3 linked regions of the Lepisosteus oculatus genome follow. The protein of the gene in region 1 interacts with the protein of each later gene in a biochemical or structural test. Links are inferred from orthologs where the notes say so. Each region holds a gene or a part of one and is shown in the gene's direction. Other genes may lie near its edges.

Region 1 (9,697 bases):
ACAAATATAGCAAATAAATAAAACAAATATTATTCTTTAACAATAACTTACTCTTATAGTCACTTGACCAGAAAAGTGGAGACTATCCTTTTAATACCGTATATGTAAACCTGCACCTTTTAATCTAGCACTCGACAGTTCATTTTGAAACATGTCCCAAAACACAATTAGCCAGCAATGTTATGTGGCCATAAGAGGTTCAGTCCAGAGCTTAAGTATGATTTCCCTTAGCTGCTGTTAAACCCACCAATATATTTTGTGTTGCATTACTTTAAAACCACTCAGCGAGTGGTCATCTTGATACAAATTAACAGAGATCAGGTCTCAACTCTGATAAAACAGATATTATGCTAGCTACATGTTTCAATAATGCTGCTGAAGCAGGATTGTTCCAGAAACATGAAGAAAAGTACAAGGTGCATAAGTTTTACTCATATTACAAGGCAAATATGAGAAATTGATATATTCATGGTAACCTATTGGATTAGGGTTCTTCAGGAACCTGGAGTATTATGTTCAACAAAACATTATTTTCTTTCTTATAATTTTGACAGACATTGTATCTGAAATGATAAAACTGGATTTTTTGTAATCATCTTCTCTGGGAACATTGGCACAAATAATCATGGTTATAAGACTGCCTGACAAATTGAGTATGACTAAATGATGAACAAAGAAGACAAAAACATCTAAATGGATCCATGAATGAGCAATTTAAGTTATAGAATAACTAATTACTCAAGTAGGTTAATCTATCCTCATATTTGTACAAAACAGATAGGGACATACCAGAAGCAAGAACAGACAGAAGAACACTAATGGCGGGCGTCGTAGCTGATGACAATGAAGCTATTGCTTCTGGTGTGGCTCAGATGTTATTAATTAAAGCTACAGATTGTCTTAGTGCTTCTTAGAGTTTGGGTTGATTTCTTTCCTTTATCTTGGAGTGCAGCAGAAAACGAGACAGCTTGTTGTTACATTTTCGCAGCCAATCACATTGTGCCATTTAGACGGACCACCTACATTGGGTCATAATTCACCTCTCACATACACATTAAATGTTATCACACTCTCCATTTTACCTCTCACAAACACACACAAAACGCTCTCACATTCAACAGTTTTGTCTCTCACGCTCACATTGTGAAGGAGTGTTTTATATATATGTGCGAGGTAAAACTAGCTTTAAACCGAGGAAGCAGTTATCTGTTCATGGATACACATATTTGTCCGATAATAAAGAATGAGCATTGCTATATATTTTATTTTCTCCCTGGCATATCTGTAAAGATTTTTGAACGGTACTGTACACTTGGGGAGGTTTTTACATGAGCTGGCCTTGCTATACAAAATCTTTTACGGAGGAACTGGAGTTAGAGTGGCCTATGTTGAGAAAAAGCATTAGTGCACCCTAAGCTAATAAATCCCTTCATATAGCCCTGATACTACATTAGAAATTCAGGCTTTGTAAGTATCAGACCATGTCATTGGTATTTGTCACGACCACCAGCCTGCCCAGACCAGCCCCCAAGAGAGCTAACCAGTGTCAGCAGCAGGGCGATACTTACAAGTGCCGCTGCACGTGTTAACTCAGTACCGGAAGCCCTACCGTGCGGCCAGCTGCAGTATTTTAGCCATTCAGACCCACTTCTTGCTGCTCCGTATTGAGTCTACTCTTTGAGAGCTCTACCTGGCATTTATTCTGTACCTCACACTCTTCTGGATTCTGGACTTCCCTTTTGCCTTTTGACTTTGGACCTCGCCTCTCGTTTTGGATTGTTTGCCACTATTTGTACTTCTTGGATTTCGAACCACCTTTCTCCTTTTGACCACGAACTCGCCTGACATACCGGATTGTTCGCCTGCCTCGACACCTACCTACTCCTGCAATCCCAGTGCAGGAGTAATCCACATATCTCTTCACTGGGAATTCCCTACAGTATTTGGATTAATAATAGGGCCTAGTTTATTACACAGTTTATACTGTAATGTCTGTGCTTTCACTTGTTATACATCACCTTGAAATAGCCATCTGTTAGCAACTCTGTCTCATCATCTCCTGTACTGTCAGAGCCTTTACTGCAGATTACTGCTTAGAAGAGAGGGATTCAGAAGCAGTCAGTTTGATTAAGCATAAACATGGTAACACACTTTGGACACCCAACCAGAGCTACTGATCAGAACAATAATCATAAGGTTAGACGTCTTTTAATGCTCTGAATTAAAACATTCAAATATAAAGAGATTATATATGATAAAATGCAAATTTAACTTAACTATTTAACTATCTAATAAAATGCAAAATTTCAAATTGTATTAAATGTAGGTTAAAAGGAGTGCAGACTAGATGTAAACTTGAAAAGAACAGATTTTGTCTGGAAGGATTTTAGCCTACTGTAAGGAGAAAACATAAGACATAAAGGTTGAACCAGAACAAACAGCCTTTGGTGATTCAAGTACATGTCAATTGTTTTACCTTCAATTTGCTTAGGTAAAATACATTGTGGAACAAATGCCAGGTCTCAAGTAATGTACAATTATCCAATAGTTCTCAAAAAGTTGATTCAGTGGGATATTTTGGGGGGAGTGAAAAAAAAGATTGTTTTTGAATGTCTGAATTACTACTAAGAACAAACAAGGCCCTTATAATATTGATTTAATTATATTTAATATAATTAGATAAACACAAAATTATTGAGTGAAGCACATTATCCAGCTCTCTACATTAATCTTATATGGGCAGACTTGCTGATTTTGCAAACCTTGAAATATTCTTAGACACAATAAAACAGGGAGAAGATTCCCTAAGTGAATCAATGCTAAATATGCGCCTATTAGACACTGGGCCATTTTTCAATTACAGCTGCATGTCAATTTTCCTTGCGAATTGTCTGAGTCTTTTAAGATGTACTTATCAAGAAAAAATATCAATGTTAAGAGAATGGTCAAGTATTTTTTCCTTGCATACATAGACTTCAGTTGAAAAGGTAGTTGGAGAACAATTATAAACATCCAGTGAAAGTCATATCTGTTTTGAAACGTTGAAATGTGATTGTTATTAATTTAGTTAATTTTGAAATCTTTTGCCTCTCTACCCAAAGTCATTTAAGGAGTGCAGAATATTTGTATAAGAAGTATGTATAAGATAGCAGTCAAAGGAGAGCATCTACTTCCACGATGGACTGATGAGCAGACAGATTGATGGGCAGCTACAGTGGCAGGATGAGAGCTTGAATTTGAAATTCAAAACGTAGTTAGCTAGTTATCTGGCTCGGCTGGGAAATGGATAAAGGGCTGGTCTGTTTCAAACTTCAATACTGGATACTCTGGATGGGATCAGGTTGGATTGTTTACTGGTCCTGTGGTATGCCAACACTGGCCAATGTATTCATTTTACCAGTGTAATGACTGTCATGTGTACAAATTTAATTTAGTGCTATCTAGGAGGCAGAAGTGCTCATCTGGAGCTTGTCATAGAAAATATTGTTAATATGCATGTATTCTGTAAAAACAGGCAGATAATGTGTTTAATGCTGTATTGAAATATTATTTTGTAGTTTTGAAGGATAACCTGTAGTTATAGCTTTTGTTCATTGCATTAGACTGTAGGTTTTGTCATTTCTGATTACTTATCTTGTAACAATCATAACTCTATCTAGTAACAGTTTGTGCAAAGACTCTACAAACATCACAGTTGGAAAGCACTGCCTGCACTAAAACCTCATTGATCCTTTTGAACTTTATTGTTTGAGTTGCAAGCAAAATAATTTAAATAAAATCAGATGAGATCATTCACAGATGAAGAATTCAAGAATAATGTCAATAGGAATAATCTTTTTGCCTTTCAGTGTTTCAGTCAATAATTACAGCCCACATTAATTATCAAGCTAGTCCAAACAAGCTTTTTTGTTGCTTCAAGGAACAACATTCATAATCCCAAACAAGTTACAAAAACTTTGAAAGTGCCAGTAAGAATTTTGTCATCAATAAGGAATGGCTTGTTTTCAGATTTCATATTTTATTTTCTTTAAAGTTTCTTTGGAATACGGTGTGTGTATGTGTGCGCACCTTTTTTTTCCAATACATTTTTGGCTAAATTGGACCACATTAGCAGCTCCACAGCTGAAAGGTTGTGTTTCTTTTCATCTCTTTTCTGAATGAAATAAACCTTTATCTGTTCCTTTTCAGCCTACACATGCGGACACAGCTACCTACTGTATTTGCTACTCTTGGTTTCCTGTACATGAACAAGTTCTAATTTCAAAGTCATGCATAACCTTGAATGCCTTCTGTCTGTTTCATACTGGGAAAAACACAATCTTGTAACAATTGCATTTAAAAAAGAGTGGTTTTGCCAAGGAAATATGTGTAGAGGTGTTTTTTAATACCTTTCCATTATGTAAATCACATACAGTAGTTCCACTTGTTGGGCTGTACAGAACTGCAGCTGACTTGACGTTGCCTGAATTCTCAGTATGAGCCTTCAAAATGCTGATGATGGCATATTTTTGGACATTTTACCGTTTTTTCTTATGATTCACAACTATACTGTGTATCATCAATACTCTTCATCCCTTGCCTCCGTACAGTTCCTTCTCAGATTTGTGCTCTTTGGATCTTTATCCTCCTTGCTGGAGACTTAGTGGGTATTGCCATTCTTGGGAACCATTTCAGAATGTCTGCAGTCCAATACCAACACATAATACATTAAAGTTCATACTATGTACAGTATACACAAATGCTTATTCATCATGACCTGTATGTAATAAATACAATAAGCCTCTGAAGACGCAAGGGCGCAGCTAGGTCAAGGGATTGTGTATTATTCACATGTGCAGATTTTCTAAAGTCTCGCTAGGTGTCAGGGCAGCCATTTAAAATGTGCCTATCACTCTGCTGAATTACTGCGGTACAATGTCTGGAGCCAAATGAATCGGCGTATTCCCAGAAAACACATTGTCTTCACCTTTCGGCAACCACGATCCCACAATTACCACGGTTAACAACAGGTGCTCTTTATTATCGTTGTGTGGGTGGAAAATAAAAGCTCGCTTTACAAGTTTCTTATCGGCAAACGACGAACAAATCTCTGTACCCTGAAGGTTATACAGTAGAATACAGCTTGTCCCTTAAAGTGAAGCATTTAGTCATATATACTGTATATACACATTGTTATTTATACATACATTATACATATTTAAATTAGACAAATTTAGAATTTTGATAATAGATAGCGCGACAGAACTCTTTTAGTAACCTAAAGGGGTTGAATTACATATAATGCAGATACTATTTGTGTAAATACGATCTATTACATGTAATCATATCAAATATAGACTATTATGAAGAATGTGTGAGGTGTGTTTATGCTGCGGTAAATCCGTGAGGAGAACATCGTGACTTCGTGCTAGGAAAATGGGAAATTCCCATTTGGTGACATTACGTGACAAAAACACGGAATTACACTGCAGGCGAAAGTTTTGACAGACACGACTAGGTGTCTTGTGACGCTGGAGACAGGGTTTTATTGCGTTTCTGCCTCCTTGAACTCTGAGCATTATCCTGTAATTTCTCAATTCTTTATGCAATGTATTTCCTGTATAAATAATAATTTATACAGAAGCGATGCTGGTCCAGTGTAATTGCTGCGGATATACAGTATTAGTGTTTTCAACGGCTGTTTGCTGCTGATTGTTTTTTAACAGGTGATATTGCCACTAACACACATTTAGAAACCTCGAAGCGTACTTCACTTTTTTTGCGCTAAATACAGACACTATGCTTGCGTGTACATGTTTAGTTTCAAAATTGTAAAGATAAAAGCAAAATATTTGGAATCACTTCAAGCATTTTACAGTAGGCATTTTGGCGTATTTCTGATTTCTGAGATTCTCTCAGAATCTCATATTTGCGTCAAATATCACGTCACATTCACAGCTATTGGAATACACTACGTGAGTGAGTGCCTATGTGTGTGTGTGTGAAACAACGCGGCACATTGACTCTCATCCGATATTTGGTAATGCTGGATTTAGTGACTGGCAATAGGTATTGTTAAACATTTTCTATAGCATTATTTTGGTATCCATACATTTCCTACCTCACATTTTATAGGTACAGTACAAATCATATCTTTAATCAGACTGTAAATTAAACACACTTGGAAGCTTTTACCGCTTGCTTGTTCTGAGGTACAGTATATCACTGCAGCCTCATCAGGTAATATGAAGGTGTGCCTTTGATTAAATTCAAACATTTTTTTTAATCTGATTTTCTCGAATGTCAATCTCCTTTCGAAATTTATATTCCGGTGTAGGTTGTCTCACCATGTTTTAATATAATGGTATTCTAAATGATTAACATGTTTCATGCCATGCAAAGCCAGTCTCCAGTTTTGTCTATATAGGATTTATTTTGTTCTGTTCTAGCAATAACCTTTTGCTCCTGGAAAATCGCAGCGAAAATCATTTCTGATATCAGGCTCGTAATTACAACGAGCGGCTGTTGTAGGTTTATCGCGTGTGGTAATTATCGATATACGACTGCTGGTACTCGGTACCTCCTTGCCTTGTCCTCATCACGCACTTACTCGCTCTTTCACTACAGCACCACACGCTCGCTTCAGCCTGCGTGGATCATCTCTGCCTGTTTTTTTTTTTCCTCCAGCCCTGCAGCAGAAACGGAGCAGCAGCAGCAGCAGCAGCAACAGCATCATTTTTTCTGTGGTGTTTTGCACCACTGCGATCAACCAGCCAACCCAAATCTCCTTGGAGAGTGAAGACACCGAACGAAAAGGAGAGAGGGGGGAAGGAAACCTTGGCACACTTTAAAGCCTTTACATTTAATATTGTATGACTCTCTTACTGCGGAGAGAGAAAAGACAATTCGATCACAACCTCACCTCTTACCGAAAGGATTATCTCATGGTTTTTCGCCTTTGTTTCTGACAAGATCGCCGACAGGTTTATAAGGAAGGATCATTTAACCAAATCTGGAAAGGGCAACGAGGGATCCACTATGATCTCCTCTTGGAAGTGGCGTGTAATGGCTCGTTTGGGATTTTGTTGGATTTTGCTGGGGCTTTGGAGGTTTAGCGCCGCTTGTCCTGCAGTTTGTACATGCAGCACCTCAAGAATTTCATGTACCAGTATCGATCAAGAATGGGGAATCAAGGCTTTCCCTGTATTAAACACCGATATAGAAATGGAAAACATTACTGAAATGTGAGTATCATCCACATGAGAGATGGATACGTTCAGGATTGGAATAATGTGTCCAGTTGTACTACAAAAATCATAACGAAACGAAAATGAAAAAAAAACATTAAGACGAAACGCGTTGCAATGTGCGGTGAGCAAAGCCAGAATTAAGTTTCATTCAAGCAGCATCGTGCAAGGTTGACTTATCGGCTCATCTGTTACAGCGGGCTAGTGTTAAAGAAAATAAAATCACTGGAGGACATGTGTGGAAAGGATGAGCAGAAAGATTGAAGGAATGTATCAAAAGGAAGCTCCGGCAGATTGTTTTCAGAGTGCTTTTAAAATAAACTTGTAAAGTGGCCAATTCTGTTCACACAAATACACTGGAAGTAAATGGATTACTGTATATGTTAGGTTTATGTAGATCTTAAAGGATTGTCAGTGGTAAATGCGATGTACACTGTACTGTACTGTATGAGCCATTAAAGGGCAGCATCAGTTGAACTACACGCTTATATGTATGTTCAAACAGTGGCCGTGGTATAATTATTTAACTAAAATGGACCCAATACCCGACACTAGACAACGTGTGTGGAACAAGAAACACGTATTTGCGAAAACGACTTTCAATAGGATGTATGTCATTTTTTCATTGGAAAGGTGCTGAAATGTGGAACGGCTTAGGCTGCTGCTGCTATCAGCCAGTTTTGCATTCCCGTAATAAGAGGATTGATAGACTGTAAAGGAACGCAACCCTAGCAAAATCCGAGCAAAGACGCGGCATATTAGAATCACTCCCTACAGCAAACGAATTTAGTTCTTGGCTCACCTTTAGTTTTAGATACGATAAATTGACTTTTTATTGGTCAGCTAGGTTATGCAGAAGCATAGCTATTATACATCAGCTGTGGTGTGAAATTATAAGACTGTTATTCTTCCTTTTTTATAACTATCTTATTATTGAAAAGATAGACTGCTGAGATAAAAAAGGCCCTAAACATAAATGTGGCCATTGAAATTTAAAGGAAGCAGAGTCGTATAATTCGCTACACATTAATCCGCGAAGTGTCTTTTTTGCTAAAGACTTAACATCAAGCCCCTTAGGTACCTGAAACTATTTTTTTCTTATTTGTTGTACAAGGTAGATTTCTTTCAAACAGACGATAGAGCGCATTTAGTGTAGCCTTATTTTATACTAGTTATTTAGGTTCTTAGACTGTATAATTTGCTGCGATATAAAGTCTTCAAACACTGTGATATAACTATGGGGAAACCACCAGTGCATCAAGAAAAGCGTTAATTGACACACAACTGTTAGATCGATCCAACTTTGAATTTAAGAGACTAGATCAATTAATCGATAAAAAAAAATTCACCTCGCCAGCTGTTTTCATCAAAATATTTTAAGGCCTTTACTAAGGCATACAAAATGACTAAAGCATGTAGCCCACTTTATAGAGGCGTTTTACAGAAGCGATTATATAAGGAATTGCTAAAAAGCAATAACTGGACTTAACATAAATTAATTGATAAAATATCTTAAAGGGCCCTCTTTTTTATAAAAGCACAACACACAATGAGCAAAGGGATTCTTTAATAGTTTTTGGAAATGACAAAAATATTCAAGAATGGTTAGTGAACATGTAAGGCCATTATTTTAAGTTATGCACATTATATTATTAACTGTGTAAAAGGCAAATTAATTTTTTGTAACATTATTTTAATGTCTTTTAACAGATACATTGCAAATCAAAGTAATTTACATGCCATCACCGATAATGATGTGAAGTTCTATAAGAGCCTCAGGAATTTGTAAGTATCAGATATTAAAAACAGCAATGATAATACTTATGACAACAGTCGACAACAACAATAATCATTTTGTTTTCATTGTCAACAGAACTGTGACAAACTCGGGATTGACTTATATATCCCGTTTGGCCTTTCAGAACAATGTGAAGCTACAATATCTGTAAGTAATGGTTTTGTAAGTTGTAAGTTGAGTACTTTCATTTCAGTTTATGGATAAATGAAAAAAAAAACTTAATGTTATATACACATTTTTAATTATTTTAATAAATTACTAACATCTAGTGTACAACATGAAAACCTAGTTTTCTTTTTCAGTCATGTACACATACTTTGGTGTTCATTTGGATTTCAAGTGATTAATTTTAAAATGTCTTGACAAAGGGGAGTGTGCTAAAAATATTGTATTTTTCTTTTTGCCACAAAATGATTCAGACATTTTACATTGCAGCAGGTTCTTTATATCTACAGTATATCTCAGTGACAGTGTTCAGATGTATTGTGATTTTATAACCGGTCAAGAACTATAAATACAATTCTGTGTGCAGCACAATTTGAAACTGAGCATGGTGTCTTCTCAAATAAGAGCCAAATCCTAGCGTTGGCTGATGTACTAATAGGCCTTGTCTGCTAGGTTTACTCACTGCGTGTTTTGTGCTATGAAGGTGTTTATTTGTGGATTGATTGAA
Region 2 (10,449 bases), on another chromosome or scaffold:
CCATTGCATAAGTCTCTGACCCCTCACACACTGCGACATAAAACTTCTACACATGGAGTGGCAGTCATAAGAGCCCAGGTTATTCACTTCCTTTTTGTATGTTCATCAGTTCTAAACGTGTATCTCTTTCTTTTTATCAGTAAGACCTCGTATAGAAGACTCATTCTTATGGGTGAGATTCAAGATACAGGGCTCCTGTACAGTACATGTACTTATGTCTGCAGCTGTAATGCATCACTTAGACACAGTGGCCTGTTAAATTGTCATCTTTGTAGCAAATGCCTATCAGGAATACGTTTTGCCTAAAGAAGAGCTGCTCAGATTTTCCTTCTTAAGAGTTTTGGATTCAGTGTTCTATGCAGCTAAGCCTCTTTCTGAAAGGCTTGTCTGTGGGCAGGTAAGAGCATGAACGGATCCCATTAGCTTGAATGAATAAGGCAGGAAGTTATGTATGTAATGATTTTTGTTTTCAAGACACTTTTAATTGTTAATGTCGACTCTGTTTCCATTGTATCAATCAATTGTTGTGCCCTCATTCTCGGCTCCCTGGCAAATGAATTAAAATACTTTTCATACTTTAATGTGAAATGGTTGAAGGTTATTATCAGAATTCTAACTGCTGTTTTGAGCCCCTAAAACTAACATCTCATCTGGGTACTGTGTACTGAGTGGCTGATAAGCAACTCTTTGGGAAAACACATATATGGGAATTTTATGTTTCATTAACATTTTATGTTTCATTATTCTTTTCTTTGTTATGCATTATTCTTGCGTGACAGATCCCCAAAGAGATCACCAAAGTCATAGGCTGAAAAACACTGCAATTACTTGTATAGTACCTTTTAAATCTCATAATCACATTTAACATCAGCTAAGAATATATAGATGTAGGTGGCACAGTGGCACAATTCTGGACCTGGGTGGTATCTGTGTGGAGTTTGTATGTTCTTCCCACGTTTGTATGGGTTTCCTCCCACAGTCCAAAGACATACAAGTAGATGAATTGGCTTCTGGGAAAACTGGCCCTGGTGTGAGTGTTTGTGACTGTGTCTGTCCTGCGATGGACTGTCGTCCTGGCCAGGGTGTACCCTACCCATTGCTTGCTGGGTTAGGACCCATGACCCTGAATTGGAGAAGTAGTTAGAAAATGGATGGATGGATATCCAGATCTCAAAACAAACACATGCTGAAGGGCTAAACTCTGAAAGGTCTCCTAAGATGTGAAAGACAATTAAATTGTGGGGGAAGATGACCAGGTCTCATCGGACAACTTGTCATTTTAATGTCTGAGAATGATTATAGATTCTTTAATACAACACAGACCAAGGGTAAATGAGACCTTTTGAATAAACATTCAGGAAATAATTTTGAGCAGTGTTAGACCAGAAAGCTGATGGTAGAAATGTTAGGAAGCCTGCTACTTATGGTTTTCAACTAAAATAGGTCTTCTCCCTCTTAACCTCATCACCCTGATCTTTCAGGACAATAATCTGTTATTCAGTATGTCTTGAGAAAAGGTTCACTAAATTATTTTTTGACAGATGTTGATGAATCAGAATATCATAATGGTTGTACATCTATTTTCTGAAGGGTTCTTTCTCTTTATATTTTATCGTGAGAGCTTTTCAAGCCTCTCGCTGTAAATCAGGTTCTTAAAATAGGTGTTATTTCCTGGCAAGCAGTGCCCTCATGCCTTGGAGTCTTTATTCTCTCTCATAACAAAGGCCTTCAGCCAGACCTTTTGAGTCTTCTGGCCCAACTTTATTATAGATACATAGGCATCTGAGAGCAATCCCTCCACTGATACCCATGTCAAAATATGTTTAAAAAACTCCTTTTAAGATTTTCTGCAGGATTGACTCAACTATCCTACCTAATGTGCTTTCTTAGTTAATCTATAGGATTTGGGTTTCCCTTAAATAACTGGAGAGGAAATTTTTACTGTTTTCCAATACATTTTAAGATCCTCGTTTGAATCTGTATGTACATGTGTGTGTGAGAGGTGGGTGTTTCATTGATCTGTTTTAATTCACATCTGGAGAAATCCACAAACAAGATGCCTCTATACTTTCTGGAGCACGTTTAGCAGAAATTATCCTGTATTTTATAATCACTGTTAGATAGGGCCATGATTATTAATGTATTGCAAGTCTTGATATTCTCATTGACAACTGTGGAAATTGTGAGGAAGACTTTTTTTAAACAATCACCTTTTTCATAAAGGCGGTTTTCGAGAAAGGTGGTTGTCCTATATTTTTTTATTTAAGCTCAAAGTCTTATTGGTTTTGTATGCATGGTCATTTAAAATCTTACACAGGCCACAGAGAAAGTGTATTCTAAGAGTTACATAAAAATTTATTTTTGGCATGTCTTCCTCAAATATGTTAATCATCCTTATTCTAGGCTTCCAGCATAATTACAGTAACGTATCTTGAAATACTTTACAGGTTCAGTCATGCATTGTCTTGTAGTAAATGTAGGGCTCTAAGTGCTACCACTGTACTGCCCCATAGAGAACTCAAGCAGTAACACCTCTAAGACCGTCATATTGTTAAGAGAAAACACGCATTATAGCAATAAATTTAAAGATGGGATTAGATTCTTTGTCTTTCTAAATACAGGTTGTGTTTTTGACAGGCACTTTTTCTAAAACTGAGAAAGAAATTGATGAACTAGGCTAGGTGAGTCTTCAGGCTACGAATTTACATCCAATTTTACTGCAATCTATTCCCTCCAAATTGCAATGGTGACAGAAATACATATCATAAGGAAAAGGGGAAGAAATTTGCTTTGCCTTTCGGCTTAGGCTTTTTTCTTTTCATGCTGGCTGTCGGATCAAATTATCTGCACGGCGAAAATCCCAAGTGTCATCTACAGGAGCCCAGCACGTTGGCTTCCAGTTCGAAGGTGGGACCCTCCTAAATTCACTGAGCACGTGGGCAGCTTATGTGTCCACTTGCTGAATTCGGACAGAGTGCGATAGGCAGAGCAGGATACAACAGCGTCTGGCTTGTGCTGAAGCCTAGCTGCGCCGTTTCTCAGTCCAGGCAGAACTAGATAGGCTTATATCAATGAACAGCACTGTGGAACAGCAGGAGGAAGTATTGGAACCACGTCTCTAAAATTAGTTAACTCATAAGGAGTAACTAAGGATAAAGCAGAGTTCAAGAAAAATTGATAAAGCACCGCTGTGTTTCATCAATTACTATCCTGAGAGCCTATCCACAGAACGCAAATATGTTGCAGAGCCTACACAAACATGCACACACTCACACCAGGTTCAGCCTATTTTACAGGAGCCAGTTAACCCACCAGCATGTTGCTGGATTGTGGGAGGAAACCATAGCAGTCAAGCAATCTTGCACAAATGGAGAGAGAACAAGCAAACTCCACTCAGATAGCACTTTGGATCTGGCATTGAACCCAGTGCTGTGAAACAGCAATGCTACCCACTGCACCATCATGCCACATTTTTCAGTAAATCATTTACTACATGAATAATGTATTATTATATAGATATGGGAATCAAATAAAAGTCTGGCAGTTTGTGTGTCTTCCACACAGTAAAGAGAGTTATCGTGGTTCTGGTCAAGCAGGCACATTTGTATTACTTTTCCTGTTTTCCAGATAATTAAAACTGAACTTGACATCATGTTAAGATCGTGATTTAATATACCAATGTATTTTGCCACTGCTGCAATATCGTTATTGCTCTTTGTTTCCTAAAGGAAACTATGATGGTACAATGTTTTGTCTTGGAGAAATAATGGTTACTGGAAGAGACTTATCCCAGTGAACAGGAATGAACTGGTGTTTGGGTGAGATATTATCAACAACGTGTAATACTTTCAACAAGAATGTCTTGCATATAAACAATGCTTTTCAGCCCAATAGATTACTAAGTACTCCACAGATAAGAGGGAACTTCATATCCATCTCTGTGGTGCCATGCAGCAGGCATTTTGCACTGGGAGTTTACTACTGTGTACAAATTCCTTTCTGTGGCATTAGATACGGTTCTGAAAAGCAAGTATAGTCCGTAAACTGACTTCTAATGGAGCTGTGCAGATTTTAAATTATGTGGCCTTTTTGAACACCTGTACTATGTTAACTATGCATTGTTAACAGATACAATTTGATATACAAACGAATGTGTTCATAGTATAAAACACCAGAGGGCACTATGTCAGCTTTTCCAACCATTTGCATCTTTGATGGCTTGCACATCTATTGGTAGTCACCTCTGAAGGTAGTGCTTACCAGATTTAATTGATTCACTAATCCACAGTGCACAATTATTCGAATAACCAAGTTAAGTTTATAACCTTATTTAATATCACATTTCTGTGCTGAAAACCTGTTGTGCATTCCCTTAAAATGACCTTCCTTATGGTTGGGGGTCATGTCGTCCTTATCCAGTGGCACTGTGCCTGAGCTTTGTGTTTGTGCACAGTAGCATCAGCAACAAGCCCGTCACACTTTTGCTTCCAATATATTTTATAGCATGTGTAGCTGTACTCATTAAAAAAAAAACATGCAGACGAGCAACTCATTTTAACCAATTGCATTTCTTTGCAGAGAATAATAAGCATTTTAAAATGAAGACTACTTTTATATCAATGTAATGGCTAATTGTTTTTTTTCTCTACAATAAAGTAAATGCCACTTTATGTTGTAATCTTGAGATGTGCAATAAATTACTGCGCGTTTGGAACAATTTGGCTTTTTAAAAAATGATAGTACCTTCTGCAATTTTCATCTTTGTAAGTTAAAACAGGAAATATCATATCTGACACTGTCCAAAGAAGGTATTGAAAGCAACTTTATTTTACATTGGTCAAAGTAAAAAAAAAACTACACACTTCATGTTTCAGGTCCACTTGACCTCAGTCATTCTAAAAAGGTTCCCTTTGCCATTTTACTTGAGTCTACGTGAGGACATTTGGGTAGTATTTCAGCTATGTTGATCCCACTGCCCCAGATTTGCTCTCTATTTTGCTAAATCGGGGCTTGATGCAATCAGGCTCCTTAATTACTTGAGTGATCCTGACGATTGTCAATACAATAATTAAGGAGCTGGTTCCAGCTCAATCAATCGAGCTGGAGGGTCTGCAGGAGGTCATGTCATCTTGCTAAAGGTTGCACTCTTCTCGGTCGACTGCCTTTGCTCAAGTCCCAGACTTTCCATACCTGAGAGTCACAAGCCTGCATGATATATATTATTCATTATAAACTGCCTGGACCAGACTAGTTTTGACAAATGAGATCCCTCATTGTAGAATCTTTAAAGGTATTTTCCCTTTTCTTATTATTACACACTATAAAAGCCTGTTCATTTTGCTCCAGGGGACATAAATCAACATGAAAAAGGACGTTTGAAATAGATGACAAATCCCTTTTGCTTAAGGCAATATCCTTTTGTTTTTACGAGTTTCATTTTTTTCTAATCGTTGCGAAAGGGATTAAACATTAAGCGAGCGAATGAGGGACGGGAAACTGGATTTAATCTAGACGTTTACAAATATTATTCTCAACAACAGGTCCAACAAGACCGATGCTAATTTGATTTTAGAATGATCGGATGCGGATCAGAAACAGTAGTAGTAGTGTCGCATTATAAAGCGAATAAAGACTAACTTTAATTAAAATGAAACTGAAATTGTTTTAAGTGTTATTTTTACTTTAGGAGAACATATTTTGTAAAAAAAAATTGAAGTTCGGCATTATTTATACTACAACCTACTACAGTAGCATACCAGCATACTACAACCCTCACAGCGGGTCGGAGTCAGTCACGTGGTCTGGGCTGCACGGATGTTTTTAAAACTGGTAAAAACACCCATCCAGTGTCACAAAATAATTAAAACCTAATAAAAGCTAATATTCTTTCTGGACATTTTAAAGACGATGGGTAAAGAATTAGGCACGAGTTGACAACTGCCGGATTAGCCGAGTAGTCAAATATTGCTACCTTTTAACTTTTTTATTTTTGAAGAACTTTAACAGCATTTGGTGTCTACGCTATACGCTATGCTACGTATCTATATATACTCAACGTGTTTTAATAAAACAAAGTATGCGAGTGCTGTATATAATATGTCGGTGTCCTGCAATATTATCAAGACCTTAAAGATCGTCGGTAAGGGCCTAGGAGTATCATCTTCGTTTCTGTTATGTTTCCACCAACTTGACAGCTACAACAGTATTAATTATAGCTGCAAATCCGTATTGTTTCTAATATATAAACTACAAGTCCCAGAAAAACTAGAGCCCTCACTCCTCGCCTCCTGTTTGGCCCGCTGGGAACCCCGCCCCTCCGGGAAACGCTGATTGGCTCCCCCACTCACAGTTCCGCGCTTCCTGCGACACGATTGGCCATGTAGCGGCGGTGTGGGCGTGTCCCGTGAATGCGGAGGGACAGTCTCGGTGCGGGGAGGCGCAAGCGGCGTGTTTCCGGTTAGAACAGGCCAGGAAACAACTGAAAAGAATACATTAAATCTATATGCTGGACAAGAAAAAGGAGCGATCGGGGTTTGTAATTAGTTAGGCATCGGCTGTCAATTTAATCGTTTTTTACCGGGAGGGAGCTGGGAGAGAGGGCGGTATGAGCACGGCAGTGGAAGCCGAGTTTCGGGAAATCGATGAGTCCGGGAGCTGGAGCGCCATTTACCAGGTAGGTGTTGGGGCAAACCGAGGTAGCGATAGGGGTGTAGAAGGCAGCGACAGGAGTAATTCGAGCAGGCTCGTTGCTAATCTGCCGCGATAGATTAAAGAAGGAGGGGATATCCCGGGTTTTGGCGCTGGCTTGGAGCTCAAAGTAATCTCGGATGTGCCGCGTTAGCCGGAGCGAACTGGTCCAACTAACACGGTGATCCCCAGCTACGTTGGTCCGGAGGCGAAGAGACTTTAAATAACTGGGAAGCCACGACAACGTGGATAGCCGAAAAGGGCTGATATTTGCTGATTTTGCCACTGGACGTGTAGTCGATTCGGAGAACGCGCGATTTAAAAGGATAAAATGCTTAATCCCTTCCCCTCTGCTTAAAAGTGATTTTCTTTAGTTTTCCAATGTGCTCGAGTTCGTGGAAGATGTCCACATGCCCACGAAGTACACTGCTTTCGCTACAGTACGTGACTTCTTGGCTTTCACACACGTGTGTCAGATTGTAAGTGGTCTTTTCACACCTGGAAATGAGCATTATTTATACATGCGCTGAACAAGGCACGCTGTGATGAGCTGCGCTGACACAACACATGTATTTGTAATGTGGCCGGAAAACCCCCTCTCTACATGAACTCCCTGAATTTAATTTACTGCAGCGCGACACGGTGTCTTTTTTCTGAGAAATGTAATTTAATATGTAAATTAAAGTCGCCCACTGCGGGGGGGTAAAACAAACTCCGATAATTTAGTTTTCAAACCTAGAAAGGTGTCGGCAACCTATATGTAAAAAACTATATTAGTCTTCTGTTTCGGTAATGTTATGTTTTAAGATTATTCCGAGTGTTGTTTCTTTGCACCCCAAAACACGATTTCGACCTTACTTTTTAACGTTAACGGTAGCGGCAGTTTCAGGAAATAAAACTGTATTGTACTACACATACAGCACGCCGGGGCCCTAGCAGAAGATATCGGTATTAATAACTCGTTAACTTAAGACTGAGGATCCCCACTTCCAAATGTAAAAATTGCCATGTGTATTTGGAGCATCATAGTTCCCTTTGCGGTTCGAAGGCTTTGCAAGTCGTTGATAATGTAGATCGGTTTATTGTGCAATCAGTCGTTCTGATGCGAGCCTGTTCTGTGATATGCGGAAAAGAGGAAATGGCTAATGACTGTTAATTGCTAAGCAAGTATTAGCCCAAACCCAAAATATTTTATTCATCACTCGGGACTTGAGTCACTAGCCAAAAGTGTTTTGTTTTTTTTACTACAAATTTAATAATCAGTACAACAAAGTGAAAAGTAGTATCATTATTCGTCACCTGTTATCTGGGCTCCTAGTATCATTTTAACTCAAGGGAACAGTTCTGAATTTTTTTTTTTACCTGCTCCTTATCAAGCTAACAAAAGCGGAGGTGTGAAATAAAACCTCAAAGTATGACGCATTGGTGCTCCTCTTCAAGCAGCGTTTACAACACAGGACTGTACTATAGAAGACGCTGAGCAGTATCTGTAAACCTTTTAGCATTGCGGTCATGTAAAACATCAAGACATGCGTGAATGACTTCCACTGCCTTTCTGCCATCTAACTCCTGCTATTGCCTTGTGCAGGTGTGTTATGTCTGTTTGTGAAAAGGGTATTGTGCTCACATATAGTGCATACCCGCACCTGAAAGAGCCCAAGACAGGACTCATTAGTTGGCAGTCAGGGCACAGAGTGTCAGTTTATCAAACTTGCAATTCTGACATGTTCTTGAATGGTTGTGGACAGTGGCAGCACAGTGGTTAGCAGTGTTGGGGAGCTCTGGGTTCATGTCTGGACCTGGAGTGCTATCTGTGTGGAGTTTGTATGTTCTCTCCGCGTTTCTGGTTTCCTCCCACAGCTTAAAACATACTGGTAACAGGCCTCTGGGTGTGAGTGTGCGTGTCTGTGTCTGTGCGTGCCCTCAGATGGATTGGCGTCCTGTTCAGAGTGTTGCTTGCTGGGATAGGCTCCAGCTCCCCAGCGACTCTATATTGGAAGAAGTGGTTAGGAAATGGATGGATTTAGACAGGTCTAAGGGAAAGGGAGAAATGCCAGTAGCTTCCCTAAATCTTGGCTGTAATCTGAGATCAATAGGCTTTCAGTTCTCTTCCCTGTCCAAGATTCCTCGCTGTCACCTTTGGAAATCTCTCCCAGCTTTGTCTGGAGCACAGACCACTGTTCACTGTAAAGGTCAGGCGGGAAATGAGAGCTTGCATTGCAATCTGCGTTAGTCCAGCACAGGAACAATGTTCAATAGAAAAGGACCTGAAATGTATTCACTCAACTTTCCTGTGAGTTTAAAAATCTTCTGTGCATTTGACCCACATGTTCATCTTTTTATGTGAATGTATATAATTTTAATGCTAGAAATCTTTAGGATGTCAACTGAAGGAAACTTAACGATCATTTACAAGTTCTCACAGCTGCTTAGAGTTACTTTTATGGATGTATCAGTGGTTAACATGCAGAGAATAGCACAATGTGTTACAATCTCCTAAAGTGTTTACTAACAGTTTTCCCCTCAACAGAAAATGTTAACAAAACAGACTTTTTTTAACATAAAACATTCCTGTTTGGTTCTAGATTATCATCAACACAATTTGGGTAAAAAAACTCACCAGATGCTGAATATTTTTAAATAATGAAACATTGTGGGGTAAATATTTACAACAGGGATAACAGTTTATACTTTCTTTTTCAACATGTCGTTTATAAGACTAAGGTAGTTTTTCATAACTACCTCAGAAAGCATCATATTTCAAAAATACATGTCATTTCAGGTAATGTTCTTTTAGTGAATTGACAGTCTTGACTTCAGGTGTGCAGGAGGTAACTGCAGATTAAACGTTCTTCGAGTTTTTTTTTAATATATTAATTTTGAATAAAACTGAGGTGTTGCAGGTTTGCTTAACCAGTATATTTGATTAACTGCAGTGCAAAGTAGCAGACATCGGAGGTGGTAAACTGATCTTTCATGTTAGTGTCCCGTTCAATGGTGTACTGGCTGGAACTGGTTTATCCAGGTACGATGTCTGTAAGCCCTATTCTGTGTCCTTTTTACTAGCACTATACACTGCTCATTGTAAGAAAAAATCCTCAACTCATCTGGCCAAGTAAACTTCGTCTCAGATAGCACTGGCTAATATTTTAATGCCTTTATCATGAGGAAGCAAAGCTTGCTCTCAGACTGTGAAATGAAGAAACCTGAAATTTCAATCTTTTTACTTGTCTTCATCTTTCCAGTCCAATGCAGTAGTGTTTTGACCTGCGAATAAATAGATCCCCGCAGAGCTTAAAACATTTTTGAGTGGGCAGCAGCATCAGAAGCATGTGTTGGCTGCAAAGGAACAAGTTAAGGTTAATTCCATGCTGAAAAATAGAGAGCAGTCACAACATTTCAGACAAAGCAAAACAGCGTTTCTCCTTTCTGTTTTTTTCAGCGTGGAATTAACCTTTACTGCTGGCATTGCTGTCTTGGCAGGTCTGGGGTACCGGGTTAAATTCTGGACCTGGGGTTTTATATTTGTGGAGTTTTCTGTGTCTGTGTAGGTTTCCTCCCACAGGCCAAAGACAAACTAGTAGGTTAAATGGTTTTGGGAAACTGGTCCTGGTGTAAGTGTGTTTGTGCCTGCCCTGCAATAGACTGGCATCCCATCCAGGGCGTACCCCGCCTTGCACCTGGTGTTGCCAGGAGAGGCTCCGCCTTCCCTGCGCCCCTGAATTGGAAGAAGCCGTCTTTAGGAAATGGATAAGTGGCTTG
Region 3 (10,231 bases), on another chromosome or scaffold:
AGTTAGCAGTCGTGTTTTACTCTGTTGTTTTTGTCACAAAAATAATTGCATATGGGCCGATAGGCTTCTGAATTGTCTTGTTGACCACATGCATTACAGGAAACAGCTTTTTGCTTGCTTGTTTGTTTTTGGTTGTGAGTGGACAGAAGAATTCTGACTTTTTTCGTGTTCCTTCTGTACCACCGGGGCTCGGAAGTCACGGGTTGTAAATGGGTTCGGGTTTACTGTAGCTCGCTTCTCCTCCTGTTCCGAAAAGAAAGTTCCTGGGCAGCCCCACTGTGAAAGTCTTCGTCCATCCCCGAATCGCATTCGGTGACTGTTCGGTACGAGTCACCTGCGCGGGCAGGTACAACAGAAATATCCGGACAGATCGGTATATTCAGAAGAGAGAAGATAAGATAAGACTTTATTGATCCCGAAGCGAAACTGATGATCAGTTCCACGTTAATTGGGCTTTTCGGTTTCTCTAACGGTCATAGGGCTGCAGCTCTCCGGATTCCCGAGTTGGCGCTTGGAAAATGACGATGCGCACAAGGTCCCCCGGTAACGATTTTAGGAGAACCGCGATATGCGCCGGTTGTCCTCCGGCTCGGAGCTCGGACAGCTGGCTCGGACAGAGAACGCCCTCAGCCCTGCGCTCTACAGGAACAGCCTTCGATCCACGTTTAATATGCGCAATTAAGTCACAGTGTTATGGCCTGGGCTGATCTCAGATGCAGATACAGACTAACTTAATTAACGAGCTGCCGTCTTGGGTGCGACAAAACCCCGAGGTGAGCAGGTTCTCCAGAAACCCTTGCTTGTTGTCCGCTTCTGGGGCTGTACAGAAAAGGGTCGGGCTTAATTAACTGGGTGGCTAGAAAATGAAAGGCCACTAACGGCGACCCCTCACTCTGTCCATGAAATAGGCTTTCTTAGCACCTGCGCTCACCTCTGCTGCTCGCTGAGCTGAGTTGTTTTCTTTTTCACGGAACAAGCAAGTATTCGCTACGTCTACGGTCACTAAAAAGGATTTTGCGCGTTTTATCATATTGCTTTTAACCTTTCATTCGCTCATACAGACACAGCGCAGGCTGGTCCCGCCGGCACCGCGGTCCCAAGCTAGTGACGGAGGGGACGCTCTTGTCAAAATGTCATTACACGGTTCCGAGACTCTCTGTTGGACGAGGAAGAGTCTTATTTTCTTTGTCTGGCACAGGAGTCTGAAACAATTAACTTATATTCGTAAACCCCCCGGGTGAGTAATTGATAATCAAACACTTTTACTCCAGTGTCCGGCAAAACAACATGAGTCTCTCGGTTTGGCGTCCAGCTTCTTTGTAAATTACAGAGCGCAAACTATTGGAGTCAAAACTACACTATTGGAGTCATCGGCATCTGGTTGGACACGTCAGTCATCCCTGAAGTGGATGCACAATCGCCATGGCAACCGGCTGACGCCTTGCGCTGAGCGCTTACATCCAAGACAGCGAAGAACATCAGTTAATAAGCCGAGAGCGCGAGATGCCGCTAATTGGTTTCCGCAGCTTTAATTGTCCGGCGTGTTTCAATTAACTCGTTTCAGTGCAGTATAGATGTTTGCAAAAGAGGTGTCAGAATTTTCCGAAGATTTGAAACAAGTGTATTTTTTTAAACAAATACTAAATCATATCTGTTGTCAGGCGTTCATGGAATTGCTGGAATAAATGTACACTTGACGGATTTACGTACGTTGCCCAGAGCGAAGTAAACTGGTTGGAGATTCGTCGTCTCCCGAGTGAATAAGGCCAACAGCCTTAAGGGCTGATTCTGCGTCACGTCACTAGGAATTGTTGGTGTTTCAGGAGAAACCCCCTCATTTCTCTATTAATTAAATATAGCCTATTAGCTGACTCTGCGAGTGTAATTTTATCCCGGTACATGAATTTTTTAAAGAGACTGTGTAATTATCTGCCGCTTTTTTCACGTCCAAACGAATGAAACTGAATCTATTTAAATATTGAAGTTCTGCCCCCGATCAATCACTGAGATAAAGAGTGAAGCCGAGAGGCTCAAAACGTACTGTATATGCGCATTAATTTGTCAGACGTGTACTTAACACTCCCAGTGTAGCGAAGCCTTCCGGAAAAAAAAAAAACAACATAACGATTTTGCTTCTGGAGGACCCGAAGCGTTTTAAAACGATGATTCAGTTGTGGGTTTACACTAAACGACCGAAGGCGAAATCATTTTGGGACGTGTTTCGGGGGGGATGGAATTGTAGCAGTGACAGGTTTCTCCGGCTCTTTCCTGCCCCTTTAAGAATGCACCGGGAAAGAAAGCACGTTTTCTGTAAATATTTGCAATTCGTACACATGGGGCCGTTTCGTGACCAAGGTTAGAACGTTTACTTGTTAGGTGATCAAGAGGATTTCTGACCACTCGAAGCAAATCTTTGAAGTCGTTCGAAATCCCTTTTGTGCGCATGGTTATTGATTGGGCAGAGATGGCTCATTGGTCACTCCAACAGGTGAGGGCCGAGGCGTGCTTTTGAAAGCGCTGCCGCTCAGAGTGAGCTCAGGAGCACGGGGTCTGTGCCTCGTTGGGAGAAAGGGTATCTAGTCGTGTGGCCCTGACGTGAGACGTTCGCTACTGAAGTATTTACAAGACAAATGTGTACCTTCACAAGGTATGGTTTACCACGTAAACCTGGGCTGTGACGTAGGGGCAGGGTGCATTGCTGTGAGGCTTTCGGATGCCGGAACATTCTTTCGACTTCTCTGCTCCTGGCACACAATACACAACAGCCGCGAGGAAACTCCAGCTCGAATCCATCTATATATAAAAGCTCTAGTCGGCCCTGGAAGTTCGAGAACAATGAAGGTTAGACCTAGACCATGCATCCGAGGGTTAATTAGATGACATCTCTCTGGATCAGTACAGAACGGGAAGGGAAAGATTGCATTTGATCTTTTTTTTTTGTTATTGAGTTGTGACTAGAATCTAATTCACCAATCGACCTGGTAACCTGCTGAAACGCACTGGAATCTAATAGCGGTTTTTTTTTGGCTACTGTACGTCACGGTACTACCCGACCCAATTATGGTAATCGGACAACATTTAAATTGGGAATGTTTTATTATTATTCTGGCACCAGGAGAGAAGGCTCGTCTGCAAGGTTGTTTTCGCCCAACATGATGTTTTTTTTTTAAATACGTCGAGTTACAGGTATTTAAAGGTCTATATACTACAAATTCCTGAGTTTCTATACGGCCCGGCAGATACAAAATACATTTCCTGCAGATTATTGGCGAAACGCGTTCCTGACCCACGAGGGTTCTGGCACACTTCCCAAGTATTGTTTTTATAGCGCTGCAGTAGTGGATACTGGTTAATAGACAGATAAGCAGGCAAGGGTAACCCAGTGGTTAGCACTGCTGCCTAGCAACACCGCGGTCCTCTTGGTTCAATTCTGGAACCAGGGGACTGTCTGTGTGGAGTCTGCATGTTCTCCCTGTGTTCACGTGGGTTTTCTCCTGGTGCTGCAATGTCCCCTTTTAGTCCAAAAACATGCTGGTTGGTTAATCAGCTCTGGAGCTGTGGATTAAGTGGTAGAAAACAGGCGAATGGCTAAGCAGGCCAGCTAGAGGAAGAGAACTATGACTTCAGGTTAGTTAATTATAGGAATTGACATTCGGCGAGTGCTGCTACATATTTTTGTCCTTAAAAAAAATACATGAATTGAATAAATAGGATAGTGGTAGAAGATTATTTAATGTTACTTGTCGGACAGAAGGGCTTTTCACTTATAGTTAAATGCAGGCTTCCAAACGTCTCTCTCTCTTTTTTGCAAGTATTAATTGACCTTCGTAGAGTTTTTCATGCAAAGACTTGAATTCCTGCTTTACTGTGAAAGTCTGATTCCACATGAATCCACAGAAGAGCAGGGAGCCAAGGGAGCTATGAGCTCAGTCCCCCTCCACTTAGACCATAGTGTGTTTGTGTTAGTGGTGCCGTGTCTTTTGCCTGACACTCGCTGACCGCACTGGTCTCATGAGTCAAATATGAAAATCGTGTTGCACACAAAGGATATGAAACTGCGATGCCCCAAACAGCACATTAAAAATCTGTCTGCATGCATATGCACACTCATTGACAGCAAAAAATGGAGAAATAACGTACACCTGTTTTTTGAAAGCACAAAGCAAAACAACGTTTACCCAGTCTAAATCAACACTAGCCCTAATTTAAAAAACAAGTGGCAGTGTCATCATCTGTTGATTCTTTTATTAGTTTTACACATGACCTGCAGAGCTAGCCTTAGCAGCCAATAGGAAAATTGCACTCTAAGCATGATTAAAATCTCTGCATATTTTTGCATCTTTCATTACAGCACAGTAGGACGGTATCATAGTAACTTCCAACAGAAATAACAACACTTACCCAAGAATCAAGCGTATTGAAAGGTTTATGGAGTTTATTAAGGTTTAGTCACAATAAAGTTTCGGCTGAACCTGTGTGGGTGAGGGCTGACCTCCTGGCCAGAGAATGAGGAGGCTGGGACCCCCATACAGAGTGAGGGGTGACCCAGGGGCAGCTGCAGAGGGGGAGATGGGGGGGAAGAGGGAGGCAGGAGACCTTGTGTGTGAGAGAAGGAGAGAAGGGGGTCACATACAGTATTTATAGTGTTTTAGGAAAGGAAATGACATTAGGATTGATTACAAATTACTGACAGCTGAGGCTGATTGAACTTGGCTGTTGGAATACCTCCCGAACTTTCATTATAAACTCCATTAAATAACTGTCGAGAAAGGTTGTTTACATTATTTACTTTTATTGCAGAATCCACTCCTGACTGTTTAACGCAATTCAGTTTCTTGTAGCATTCAATAAACAAGCTATGATGAGTTTGAATGGAGTTGCCTCATTCAGTTTTCCTTGAAGAACGTTTTTCTTAGAAAGAACGTCATTCCATTAGAACTATGGTGCTTGTCCCTGATTTTTCCAGGAAACACCAAGTAGCCTAATTGTAGCACGCACGATCCGATTTTTGGACCTTCCAGAATTCTTAATTTTCTATCTGCAGGAATGTAGACATTTCCAGGAAGTCATCAAGTCTGGTTCTGGAAGTCACCTTTCCACAGATAACAAGAAAGCTTAGGGTCACTGAAAAAAAAAATCTTAGGAGTTTACTGTTGCTGATATTATCAAGACTGTCACTACAATGACTTTGGAAGTGATGAACAAAAATAAACTTAAGAGAGCCAAAAAAAAAATAAACAGAACAGTCCTTCTCTGTCCAGGAAGATTTGATTTGTTTTTTTGTACAATCTCAGTGAAGTGAGAAAGATTGTGATGGTTATGCAATGCAGAACTTCTTAGGAAAGTGCATTCTTTGGAAAGAAGTGACAATGAACATGCATTTGTGTGTTTTTTATACTGTAGTGTTTTCAAGGAAGGGTTTACATCTCAATGAGGTTAATGTAAGCCATGTCTGGATTGTCATATCAGTTAACTTCAAGATAACCTTTGGAAGAAAACTAAAACACAAACCAGTGGACAAGAACATTGAATTCTGAGAGAGGGAGGCACTATACACTAGGTAACCGGAGCAATAATTCACATTGTTGGATACGCTGTTAAAGTAGAAACAATTATTATTGTGCTGCAAATGGAAGTGGCACAGAGCAGGGATTCAATTGTGTTTGTTAAAAAAGTCATTGAAACATTTTGCCATATGCTTTATGTTAAGGAAGCAATCCTGTATTGGTCCAATAGGGCTTTACTGTAATCTCTTTTTTCGGGATTAAAAGGACACTATATATCCTTTAAGGAAACAGTGCAGCCCCCTTGAAAAGAAGAGATGATAGCGCAATTACCTTTCATCTGTTAATCTAGCAGTGCCAGTCTCTCTTCTAGTCCCTCTAGCAGGCATGAAGAGGACGGACCCCAGCCTATATGTAAAGCCCACAACTTGTCAGCAGGTCACATTCTGAAATGACAGTCAGATTCTGTTTTTCTTGCTCTGGCCCCTAATCCCTGCTCATCGCCTTCATGGGACTTGCAAGCAGGCACCAAGCAAGAGGAGAAAACCAGCGAAGTGAAGAGGTGACTTTCTGGCTCATCCTTCTGCACAGAGACGGAAATGAAGGAGCGTGTGGGAAAAGAGTACTTAGCACCAGAGCTGAATTTAGCTGAATGTCACCCCTGTAGAGTAATGAGAGAAACTAGACTCACCAGCAGAGAGCACAGCAATTTAAATAGGCAAATAAGATTATAATAGAGGACACCGAGACTGCCGGGTGTCTCCCAGTCTTTCTCCTTTCTGGACAGCGTAATGTTTAAAAATAAATGATGAAATGTGCCACCCCTGGAATGGAAGCTGAGCTACGCACCGCAAGTGGTAAAAAAAGGCAGAAGTTCTTTTGCAAGACCGAGCCGACGTGGAGATTTGAAGTGACCCAGGTAATATCTCAAGGCCTGTTAATGTGTGTGGGCTTGTTCTGCACTCTCCTCATTTCAAAAGGTGTCATTCCAGTGTTGCAGGAGCAGTTCATTATTGTCTCATTAAACGGTAATGGTTGTGTGTCTTCAATGATTGTCCTTCATTTCTTTCTCAGTGTAATTGTGCAATCATTAGCTCTGGGAGATAGAGTATAAATAAAGCAATGTTGGGCTTTTCGTTTTCTTTAAATGGGGATTAGCTTCACTGAAACAAATAGATTCCCCAAATATTCATGGTGTGTTAAATCTAATTTATGACCGTTTTTTGATACTGTAATTCTTTTTACAATCGCCAAATTGACCTTCTCTAGGTATAGAAAATTGTAAGTCAGCCGCCGTAATCAGACGTCCGAACCCCAGCTGCAGGTGAAATTGTATTTCACAAATTTAAGGAAAAGGTATTTGTATTGGGGTATTTTTTTTTCCCCCGAATTGGAATTATCACAGGCAGCCCCAGAGTACTGCAGTGGTTCATGGATGTGATTGTGGTTTAACTGGATCAGAGTTTTGAGGACAAGTCCTATTGATTTTCTTTACTGAAACAGGAAATAGCCAAATAAAAAAAGAGCGTCAGTCACCCGGCAAGAAGAAAGCTCAGAGGAGTAACTAGCAATTGGATTCTAATGAGTTACACGGCCTCCATTTCTGTGGAGTGTCTTGTGCGTGACATTTGCAGCCTTGTTAAACTGTCAGGCACAGCCTTTCTTTCCCTCTAATGCTGTGCCCTGTGATAGTCGTTAAGAAAAAGAAAAGAATTCATGTATTAAAAGATGTGCTTAAGTTACACTGGGACATATTTGACTTTCTGTGGGTTTTTATTTCAGTGAGGAAGTAGATGGACAACTTAAGTAGTTTGTTTTCTCTAGCAGCGGGTTAAAGATAGAGAACTCCTGGCCTGAAGTGCTGTAAAATGTCGCTCACGGAAACATGGTATAATGTAGTAAAGCACAGTGAATGGCTTGTATATAGAATATGTGTGGTTCCAGTTTAAAACATTGGAAGAGCAGGAAAAATCACTAGGGTGAATGTGTTAGTGGCCCGAATTTGATCAAGGAGGGATCTAGTCATGAAAACTGGCCTATAACCATATCCCCAGGTGTTGATGGGGAGTTGCTGAAGCCTGATGACTCTTGCATGTGGAGTTCTAAATGGACGTTCTGTAGAAGGTCAGACCCCAGTCTCACCCACCTCAGCTTCCCTGCATGCAAGGACCTCACCTCCAGAGTGCCCACTCTCCGATCTTCTCTCGCACCCCATCCTCACCCTTACAGCAGTCCCCTTGCGCTTTCCTTGCCAAAAAGAGGGGTCTGTCAGCTTTGTCCCTACAGTTCCGCCAATTAACCAGCTAATCCCTATCATGCCTCTATTGCGCATTAAATAAGGTTTGGTGAAACCGCTGAAACAGGACTGTGTCCTTGGAATTAAATAAAAAACACCTTGCAGAGAATCCAGGCTGGCTGGGTTGTAGAAGTTATTTTCTCTCTTTCTTTTTTAGGAGAATTTGCTGTTTATCCAAAACGTCAAGCTGAGCTCTTTAAGTGGAAAAGAAAATGTTGCACCAGAGCCCACTAGTTCAAAACGTTTCTGGGAATCTCATCTGCACTCTCCTCAGTTTGTGATTTAGGAATTTGGCTGTGTTTGGAAAGGATGAATTTACAGTCCTGTTCCCATAGGAACTTAGTGGGTAATTCATCAGACGGCTCTGCTTGTAATCTTATACTGTACATGTTACCATTCAAGTGTGCTTGCGGAGAGTAGCATTGTTTTTCTGCTGAGACTGAATCACTGTGCTCACCATGTCATTTAAAAACAGGTCTTAATACAAGAAAGCAAATCCTTTCGTGTAGCAGAATTCCACCGCTATCAAAATATAAATGTGTCTAATTGATGGGAATTGGAGCAAACAACTCCCAGAACTGCTTAAAAAGTAGCGGAAAACAGCTTGGTTTGCTAAGACCTGATGTTCTTGTGCAGACAACCTGTTTCAGTAAGTCTCCAGAATTATTTGCAAACCGTGAGCTGTGAAATGTTTCGAGTGTGAAGCCTTCTCTCGATTTGGCAGAGGTGGATGAGTAAGCTCTAGGTTTTAAGGGGATTCTTTTTAAAAAGAATGTACATGCTGTACTGGGTGCACCAAAAAAAAAAAGCACAGGCATGCCTTTTCATTTACTCATATCATTCATATGACAGGACAGAGTAAAAGAGGCAGCTTCAGAACTTCTTTAATTCATTGCCGTTCATTTGGCTTCATTTGAAAAAAATCCAGTCGCCACATCACAAATACAGAAGAAGTCTTGTGGTATAAGCTGTGTTGCTTGCTGGCACTACTTGCTGGCACACAGGTGCTGCTGAAGCTGGCACAGCCCTCTTCATAGTATTGTCTTTCTTATCATTTGCAAATTGGCAGCGGCCTGTTAAAGTGCACCTTTAGAGAACCTGCAGGGAAGGACGGGGGATTAGGATGTGCTGGGATATCAAAGTGGGAATTACATTTTCAGGTTTTCTAAAAGCCTAACCCTTGTGCCCGATGACCCTATGACCCTTCCTTTAAGGGATTAGGTAAGGTTAAGTACAGCTTATTTATGTGTAATGGGGGGGGGAATGCGAAGTGTACGTTCTGTGTTCACCCAGTGCATGGTCATGCTCTGGGGGAGGAGATGCAACTATAATATTAGCAAAGACTTGCAGACCACAGCCCTTTTAGGATATTTGCTTTTTGGCTAAATCAGTGCTGCTTTAAGTTGCAAACCCAAAGGTGCACTCTTCCCAGAAATCCAAAGGGCATTTTTTGTTATTGTTGATGTTTCAGACAATGCCTTTAAGCTGATTAGCCACAGTCCCTGGTGGCGGCCTGATCCCTGTGAGTTGAGTTGAGTTTGTTGGTGTCTGAAGTGGACATAAGGGCTTCGCGAGGACTTTCTTGAGAATTTTACTTTCCAAAAACAACACCTTTTTGCCTCGGGTCATTGTGGAAGAGGTAACTAATTTGAACTCTCAGTCCTGCTAGAGCGCTATCTGTTTAGCTACAGGGGTCAGGGGCGGAGGCGTTGGAACTTATTTAAAGGTATTTCTCTTGAATTGTTTGGAGCAGAAATCTTTTAGCCTGACAGCGGCCACCTAGCGAAGGAGGTGAATGCGAAGGGAGTGAGGAACACAGTAGTCCTGATGTGATTGTGGCCACAGGCACCGTTTTGACAGACTGTCGATGACCCTTCTGATAGCTCGACGAAAAAGTCTTTGAAATCAAAATCTGCAGGGCTTTTTTTTTACGTGAGCCTTTGAAATTTCCGTAAGCGACCGAAAGCCTGACATTTCACACACTTTTCTTTGGTGAAAAAGTATGATTGGTGTTGCTCCTGTCCGCTGATACTCTGCTGAAGCTCATTGCAGTTGAGATTGCATTTTAATTTTGTTTGAGATTCTTTGCCAGGAACTCTGTATAGATACAATGTGTGCATTTCAGGGGCGCTTGAATTCTTTTGTGTCAAAGCAGAGAGTTAGGAAACTTTACACAGTTCATTCCTCTACAAGGCAAACCCATGGGGAAGTGCTGTGTGCATTTCACTGCAAAGGACAAGGTGTGCCTCTGAGAAAAATATCTCCGGTGAAATAGTTCAAATATTTTAACCCCGTTTAATCCCCCTCGGTTTCTCAACAACGAAGGAACCACACTTTCCGGATATTTTAAGACGCAGAGCTAAAGATGCCTTTAGCTTGTAATGTACTGAAGGAAGAATCATAATATATTGTTGTTTGCTCAGCAAACGCC

Evidence for each region.
Region 2: the proteins of ntrk2a (region 1) and ptpn1 form a complex in vitro, tested with the Homo sapiens proteins (2 studies listed by BioGRID, with this or other methods). The link is inferred for Lepisosteus oculatus from reciprocal best matches to the Homo sapiens genes NTRK2 and PTPN1.
Region 3: the proteins of ntrk2a (region 1) and bdnf form a complex in vitro, tested with the Homo sapiens proteins (3 studies listed by BioGRID). The link is inferred for Lepisosteus oculatus from reciprocal best matches to the Homo sapiens genes NTRK2 and BDNF.

Annotation. Positions count from the first base shown.
Region 1 is NC_090698.1:61,693,939-61,703,635, forward strand, and holds the start of ntrk2a (BDNF/NT-3 growth factors receptor), read left to right. Parts: upstream 1-5,644; 5' UTR 5,645-5,705; intron 5,706-5,955; exon of another isoform or gene 5,956-6,048; intron 6,049-6,535; exon of another isoform or gene 6,536-6,666; 5' UTR 6,667-7,017; coding exon 7,018-7,223; intron 7,224-8,936; coding exon 8,937-9,011; intron 9,012-9,099; coding exon 9,100-9,171; intron 9,172-9,697. UniProt on the Homo sapiens protein: Receptor tyrosine kinase involved in the development and the maturation of the central and the peripheral nervous systems through regulation of neuron survival, proliferation, migration, differentiation, and synapse formation and plasticity.
Region 2 is NC_090711.1:12,092,714-12,103,162, forward strand, and holds the start of ptpn1 (tyrosine-protein phosphatase non-receptor type 1), read left to right. Parts: upstream 1-6,409; 5' UTR 6,410-6,604; coding exon 6,605-6,673; intron 6,674-10,449. UniProt on the Homo sapiens protein: Tyrosine-protein phosphatase which acts as a regulator of endoplasmic reticulum unfolded protein response. Mediates dephosphorylation of EIF2AK3/PERK; inactivating the protein kinase activity of EIF2AK3/PERK.
Region 3 is NC_090716.1:3,155,786-3,166,016, reverse strand, and holds the start of bdnf (brain-derived neurotrophic factor), read left to right. Parts: upstream 1-5,745; 5' UTR 5,746-6,309; coding exon 6,310-6,423; intron 6,424-10,231. UniProt on the Homo sapiens protein: Important signaling molecule that activates signaling cascades downstream of NTRK2. During development, promotes the survival and differentiation of selected neuronal populations of the peripheral and central nervous systems.